2 linked regions of the Notamacropus eugenii genome follow. The protein of the gene in region 1 purifies or fractionates together with the protein of each later gene. This does not show direct contact. Links are inferred from orthologs where the notes say so. Each region holds a gene or a part of one and is shown in the gene's direction. Other genes may lie near its edges.

Region 1 (3,743 bases):
TGCCAGAGCTGGGAGGGCCCTTAGAACCTTGGGTGTCAGAGCTGGGAGGGCCCTTAGAACCCAGGGGTGTCGGCGCTGGGAGGCCCTTAGAACCCAGGTGTCAGAGCTGGGAGGGCCCTTAGAACCCAGGGTATCAGAGCTGGGAGGACCCTTAGAACCCAGGGGTGTCAGAGCTGGGAGGACTAGAACCCCGAGTGTCGGCGCTGGGAGGACCTAGAACCCCGGGTGTCAGAGCTGGGAGGGCCCTTAGAACCCAGGGGTGTCGGTGCTGGGAGGACTAGAACCCCGGGTGTCAGAGCTGGGAGGGCCCTTAGAACCCAGGGGTGTCGGCGCTGGGAGGACTAGAACCCCGGGTGTCAGAGCTGGGAGGGCCCTTAGAACCCTGGGTGTCGGCGCTGGGAGGACTAGAACCCCGGGTGTCAGAGCTGGGAGGGCCCTTAGAACCCTGGGTGTCGGCGCTGGGAGGACTAGAACCCCGGGTGTCAGAGCTGGGAGGGCCCTTAGAACCCTGCTAGGTGGGACAGCGCCGGGCCTGGAGTCAGCTAGACTCATCTCCCCGGGTTCAAATCCCGCCTCAGACCCTGACCAGCTGTGGGACCCTGGGCGAGTCACTTCACCTGGTTTGCCTCAGTTTCCTCATCTGTAAAATGAGTTTTAAGAAGAAATCAGGAACAGTCGGAAAGGGCTGAAACGACGGAGCAAGGCAGAAAAGCTTTCTGACTTAGCGCTATGCCCTGAGCGGTCTGGGCTGGCCGCATAAAGTCACGAGCTCGCCAGCCCCAGATGTGGTCAAGGCGTGGGGACCGCGCAGCCCAAAGAGCCCCGGATGCAGACGGGCCAGGCGCCGCGCCTGCGCACTAACGCCGCACTGCGCCCCACCCCCTCGCCCCGCGGAGTCTGTAAACAATCACCTCGTGGGCAGAACTCTCCCCGCCTCCGGTCTTTGCGCCTGCGCAGTAACTGACGCGTGCGCCTGCCAGCGGCCGGTGGGCTCGGTGCTGTTCGGTGTCGTTTGGGCCTGAGTCAAGGCCGGGGCCATGGCTCTGCGGCAGGCGCTGGGCCGGGGCCTGCAGCTGGGCCGGGCGCTGCTGCTGCGCTTCTCGGCCAAGCCGGGCCCGCCGGGAGGCTTAGGGCGGGCGGAGCGGCCGGGGCTGGGCTGGGGCCTCGGGGCCCGAGAGGCGGCGGCTCCGGCTCCGGGGCCCGGCCTGGGCCTCCCCAGCCGCTACCGCTTCTTCCGGGAGTCGGTGGCCGGGCTGGCCGCCCGCCTGCAGCGTCAGCTGGTGCTGCGGGCCCGGGGAGCCGGGCCCCCCTGCGGCCGCGCGGTCTTCTTGGCCTTCGGCCTGGGGCTGGGGCTCGTGGAGGAGAAGCAGGCGGAGGGGCGGCGGGCGGCCTCGGCCTGCCGGGACATCCAGGTGAGGGCCGCGGACCGGCCCGGGCAGGACCGGCCCCGCGGACACCGAGCGGCCGGAGGCGGCCAAGGTCAAAGCCGAGCCTCGGGCGGGAGGGGGGAGGGGGGAGGGGAGGAGCCCCCGCTGTCCGAGGTGCGGGCTCTGAGTGGAGCTGGGTCCGCCTCGGAGCCAAGAACCTTAGAATCCTGGCACGTGCAGTGTCACAGTTGTAAGGAACCTGGGGACACGGAATGTCACGCCTAAAATCACCTTGAAGCATAAAGGTCCGAGCTGGGAGGGTTAGAACCCAGGCTGGCAGAGCCGGGAGGGCCCTTAGAACCCAGGGTGCCAGAGCCGGGAGGGATCTTAGAACATAGAATGTTACTGCTTAAAGGGACCTTCGAACCTAGAACATAGTCACAATTGGAAAGGACCTTAGGATATAGAAGTGTCAGTGCTGGGCAGTCCTTGGACAGAAAGTCAGGACTAGAAGGAACCTTAGAACATAGAGTGTTAGAACTAGAAGAGGTCTTAGAACAGAGAACATCATAGCTGAGAGATTATGTGTTACAGTGGAAAGAGTACTGAATTTGGAGTCTTTGAACTTCCTTTGAATTTCATTATGCCATTTATTACCTATCTGACCTTGAGCAAATAATACAATGGATAGAGCACTGGGACTTGAATCAGGAAGACCTGAGTTCAAATCCAACCTCAGACACTTAGGAACTGTATGACCCCAGTCAAGTCACTTAATTTGTCATCCTAAGTTTCCTCCAATGTAAAATGAAGATGATAATCGCACTTAGCACCTAGGAGTGCCAGGTGGTGCAGGAGATAGAGCTCAAGCCTGGAGTCAGGAAGACGCATCTTCCAGAGTTCAACTCTAGCCTCAGATACTTACTAGCTTGTGACCCTGGGGGAATCATCTAACCCTCTTTGCTTCAGTTTCCTCATCTGGAGCTGGAGAAGGAAATGGCAAATCAGTCCAGTATCTCTACCAAGAAAACCCCACATGAGGTCACAAAGAAGACAGGACTGAAATGGCTGAACAAACAACATGCTTACCAAAGTGCCTGGCATAAATGCTGGTCCCCCTCAATCTAATCTGTGAAAGGAGAGGTTTGTATGAGAGGGTCTTCCATTTTCAAACCCTTTAAAGCAATGCAATGTGGCACAAAGAGTTCTAGATTTGAATTCAGGTGACCTGGATCCTTGGTCAAACCTTGTTACCTCAGTTTATGACTTGACAGTCATAAGGGATATAGATTCCATCTCTAGAGGCAGAAAGGACCTTATAGGTCATCTAGCACAACCCTTTTGTTTTTTAAAAGATGGGGAAGCTAGGGCCAAGTTAAATGAATGACTTGCCCAGCTGTACAATGTAAGCAAGTAAGTGGCAGAGCCTAGATTTGAAGCAGGCCCCCTGATTCCAAGCCTGTTGGGTTAGGGCTTGGGGCAGGGGACGGGGGAAGCATTGGCACCCAGGGGCATTGGCTCCCAATATGTTCCTTGAGTACTGAGACTTTTTTGAGGGAGTCTCTATCCCAATCTTTAACTCATGAACATCAGAGATAGGAAAGGTCTTGGAGGCTCTATAGCCCCTTATTGTTCTGGGTACAGCCAGCTTAAGATTTTAAGCAAAAACTATGTTTTAGCCACTTAGCTAGCACACATGATCTCAGTAGAGTCTAACTTTCCCTACTGGAATGCTGCCTGCTGTACTAGTGAGCTTAAAAGGAAATGGTAATTGATACCAAATGTAATTAGACCTATAATTAAACTCATGTAGTACACTCACACATAGGAACCTACAACCTCGTGGCCCTTCCCCTCCCCTGATCTGGCCCAGCATCCTTGTTTTGCAGAGGAGCAGACTGAAGCCCAACAGGTTATTTCAGCAGCCCCAGACTTGGAACACAGATCTCCTGACTGCTAGTTCCAAAATTCTTTCCACTATTGCACAGTGCCTCTGATTATTTTACAGAAAGGAAAACTGGGACCCAAGAAAGGGAATGGTTTTGCCCAAGATCAGACAATCAATCAGTATTTATTAAGGTCCTGCTGACTGCTAAGCTCTCAGAATACAAAAAAAGAGGCAAAAGACAGTCCCTGCCCTCAAGCAAGATATATATAGGATGAAAGGGAAGGTACCAAAATTAAGAGGGGTTGGAAAGTCTTCCTACAGGTGGTGGGATTTTAGCTGGGACTTAAAGGCAGCTAGGGAAGCCAATGGACAGAGATGAGGAGGAAGAACAATCCAGGCAAGGGGGACAGCCAGAGCTGAGAGATGGAGGGTCTCCAAAGTGGAAGAGCCTGGACACCAGTGTCACTGGATCCAAGAGTATGTATTGA
Region 2 (3,743 bases), on another chromosome or scaffold:
GGGGCAGTACAGGAGAAGCAGCCCGGGAACGTCCTTGGGGTTTCTCAGATCGTTCTCCAAAATCTCTTAATCCTGGCCCTAGCCTGCCCGCCGAGGTGGACCCCACGGGCGGGTGCCAGTGTGCGCGTGTGTGCGGTGACTCTGCAGATACCGCGCACCTCACCGCACACGGGCTGGGCCCAACGTGCGCCCTGCTTCCCCGGGCCCCTGGGGCGCCCAGGACCTTGGCAGCTTCCCCTCCATTAGCCCTCCCGGCTCAGCCCGCTGCCCCCGGCCCCCTCCCTCTGTGGGAGCCTCAGGGGTAGTGGAGGAGAAGGGGGTTGTTGGGTCGGGGTGGGGGGCGCGGGGAGGGGCTTGCTCTAATGTTCCTCCAGTGGGGATGGCCAGTCGTGGGAGGGGCACTGGATGGGACTCTGGATATTGAGGTTACAGGAAAGGGAATGGGAGAAGAGGGGGAGGGGAGGTACAAGCATGTATTATGCGCCTACTGTGTGACCGAGCGCCGGGCAAAGCACTTGACCGGGGCTGGGGTATAGAAAATGGAGCGCAGTGGGGACGCCGCAGGAGGGATGCGGGGGATGCGGGGGATGCGGGGGATGCGGGGGATGAGTCCGCGGCCGGTCCAGGCCCGCATTGGCGCCTTGGCTCGCTGCACGAAGAGCTCAGGCCCAGTGGGGGGGGAGGGAGGAGGAGGAGGGAGGGGAGGAGGTGGGGGGGCGGCGTGCGGGAGTGGGGGGGGAAGGAGAGGGGGCGGGGAATGCGACTAGACAGGCGTGGAAACTGCTGGAAATGCCGCCGCACTGCAGAAAGGCTCGGCTTCCGCCGCCGAGCTCCTTGGCAAAGAGTCCCGGAGAGCTCGCCCTTCCCCCAGCCCATTCTGCCCGTGGGCTGGAGCGGGGGGGTGGGGATGGGGAACCAGCTTGGGCTTTACTGCCCTCCTACCTTGTGGGGGCCACCTCTTTTGCGGGGAGCCCCCCCACCCTTCAGAGACATAGCTCTGCCCTGACCTCCCTGCCACTCCACGTGTACCCCTCCCAGCCGCTCAAAACCGGTTCAGAAAAAGCCCCCGGGCTGTTCTGCGCGACCCCGGTTTGTCCTCTCCCCCACGTAGGTCCCGAGGGCAGGAGAGCGAGGCTACCTCGTGGCTTAGCCCTCCTCCTCGAGGTGGGGGGGAGGGTGACACTAGCTTGGAGGGTGGCCGCTTGTCGCAGGCAAGGTCCCAGCATCTCTCCCCAAGGCAGATCGCGGCGAGGGTCTCGCGACCCCCAGCCCCGCCCCAGCCCCTGGCTCCGTCCCCGTGCGGCTGGAGAGGCTGCCCCCGCCCCTGCCCCCGTCCTGACCGTTCACCGGTTACGTCAGTGAGTCCATCGGTGAACCTTTGTTAAGCCTCGGCTGAGGGTCAGGGCCGACGGCTCGGGGAGCTTTCTGGGAGCTGGCAGGTTCACGGGTGGGAAACCACGAACCGCCAGACAAAACTCGTACGAACGGGGTGACCTTGGGCCTCAGTGACCTCATGTGTAAAATAAACGTGATCCCTAAAGAAGGTTCCTGCCTATTCCAGTAGTTTCGTTTCTATAATCTGTATGTGCGTACAATGTGGAAAGAAGGAGGGGGGGCCGGGAGAAGCTGCAGGAGAAGGCCGGCGGCGCCCTCGGAGGCTGCAGGTGCGCGGTCTGTGAGGCGGCCCCTTTAAGGCGGAGGGATTCGCCTGGGAAGCTCCGACGCTATCGGTGCGCTGCCAATATATAGGGCGGGTGGGGGCGGCCGGCAGCTTCTCTTGTGCCAAGCTCCTCACGGTGCGAGGTGTGCGTAGCCGCTGGACTCAGCCCTTCTCTGACCCGGCCTGCTTGTCTGCCATCGCTCAAGGTGACGTATTCGCTACATTCCCGTCTAATACCTCTTATCTTCCTTTTCTACTCTGCCTTTTTTCTCATATTATTACCCACAAAGGTTTTAATGCCCCCCCCCCATCCCCGCCGACCGTTCAGACTTCGGTTTTTCTGAGTAAGGCTATTCCCCTCCCCCAGCCTCTTTTCTTCTTCCTAGCCTCAGGGAGGGTTCGGGCAGGGAGTGACAGCCGCGCGGGGGCCGGTTGGTCGGCAGCAGCGTTCCCGGGGGGTTAGGGTTAGCACGTGGTGGCCGCGCCGGTCCCCACGGGACGCTGCCATGTTGGGCTCGCACCTCCACTTCCGGCGGCTACGGGGAGCGAGAGGGGCATTCGGCGCGCGTGTGGGGGAGCAGGCTGGGGTGACTCAGCACCGGGGTGGGGGGGCGAGTCCTTCGCCAGGTTTCATCTTTGCTTTTCGGTTGCATCACTGTCTCGGTCCTCTAGGTATCTTTCCGTGCTCCACTTTCCCTGGCCATCATGGCCGCATTTTTCAGTAGCGCGTTGGGGGGGGGGCCCGCGGGGCCGCGGGGGAGGTGGTTCGAGAAGGGAGGAGCAGGTTCTGGAACATTCCCGGGACTCCCTCCCCCCTCCCTTCGCGTTGGGGCCCAGATTCTTCTGGAAGCTTCTGGAGCCGCGCGCCCCGCCCAGGTGCCCGGATGCTGGGATGGCGCCGGAGCCCCCAAGCGGGGATGGCGGGGACATCGTGCCCCTTAGGCGGTGGGGTGTCTCCTCCTCCCGACCTAGAGGATCGGCCCCAGGCGGGAACTCCTCCCTCCCCGCGGTGCCGTGTTTCACTCAGCGGGGTTGCAGGCGCGGACACTGGCTCTTTGTCCGCATCCTTTGTCATCCCTTGCGCTAGACCTGGCCGTTATCCTGGTGGGCCTCCCCCTCCCCCATGCGGGGGCCGCTGCCCGTCCATTTGTTACCTAGTGTTACTCGGCACGAGGCAGGCAGGCCCCGCCCCGAGCGCTGCGCTAGGCTCCGGGGATGCTGATGCGGGCTTCACTGCTTGGCGGGTGCCTCTGGTGGAGTGGTGCTGAAGGGCTTCCATTGTAGTGTGAATTGAGGATGTTTAATGGCGGGGAAGCCTATTAATTAATTAGCGTGCCTTTTTAAACCGAGTTGGAGAGACTTCCATTGGATTTCTCTTTCTGGGGAATCTCAGCTGGGGGCTTTTTTCCCCAAAACATCAGCAGTAGACATTCTAGGCTGTTAAAAAGCAATAATGAAATCTTTAAAGGTCGTTTCTACCCCCAGATGTCAAAAGTTACTGGACTTCAGTGATTTCTGGAGAGTATAGAAGCGTTTCTCCAATATTTCAAAGTCTACAGGGCATTTGCTTTTCATCTCTGGGTCCTTGAACTGACTCAAAACAACCAAGTCTGGTGTTTGGGTTGTTTTTTGACTGCTTAATTGTTGAGTTAACTGAACCTGGCATCTGGGTAGGAGTCACTGGTTTTTCTCAGATAATTCTTGTGGGGGAGGTCAGATATTAGACTCTAGATTAACTGTACCCTTTTATGTTTAAAGATGCCTGAGGAAGTACAGCATGGAGAGGAGGAGGTGGAGACCTTTGCCTTCCAGGCAGAGATTGCCCAGCTTATGTCCTTGATTATCAACACCTTTTATTCTAATAAGGAAATCTTTCTTCGAGAGATTATTTCCAATGCCTCTGATGTAAGTGTTACTATTGATGATAATATGGTAACCTGGGGAGGGAATAGGAGGAGGGTGGTGGTCTTAATCAGGTTTTCTGTTGTCACTCCTCCCCACAGAGGGGGTTATGAGATTTTTGCATCATAGGTTGAAAGAAAGCTGTCTTGGTTAAGCAAGTCTGTGAATATCATTCTAATTG

Evidence for each region. Proteins that work in one complex are often made in the same cells at the same time.
Region 2: the proteins of PINK1 (region 1) and HSP90AB1 purify together in Homo sapiens (affinity purification with mass spectrometry; 4 studies listed by BioGRID and IntAct, with this or other methods). This does not show direct contact. The link is inferred for Notamacropus eugenii from reciprocal best matches to the Homo sapiens genes PINK1 and HSP90AB1.

Annotation. Positions count from the first base shown.
Region 1 is NC_092876.1:60,646,569-60,650,311, forward strand, and holds the start of PINK1 (serine/threonine-protein kinase PINK1, mitochondrial), read left to right. Parts: upstream 1-947; 5' UTR 948-1,037; coding exon 1,038-1,412; intron 1,413-2,292; exon of another isoform or gene 2,293-2,525; intron 2,526-3,743. UniProt on the Homo sapiens protein: Serine/threonine-protein kinase which acts as a sensor of mitochondrial damage and protects against mitochondrial dysfunction during cellular stress.
Region 2 is NC_092873.1:107,736,507-107,740,249, forward strand, and holds the start of HSP90AB1 (heat shock protein HSP 90-beta), read left to right. Parts: upstream 1-1,165; 5' UTR 1,166-1,866; intron 1,867-3,418; coding exon 3,419-3,565; intron 3,566-3,743. UniProt on the Homo sapiens protein: Molecular chaperone that promotes the maturation, structural maintenance and proper regulation of specific target proteins involved for instance in cell cycle control and signal transduction. Undergoes a functional cycle linked to its ATPase activity.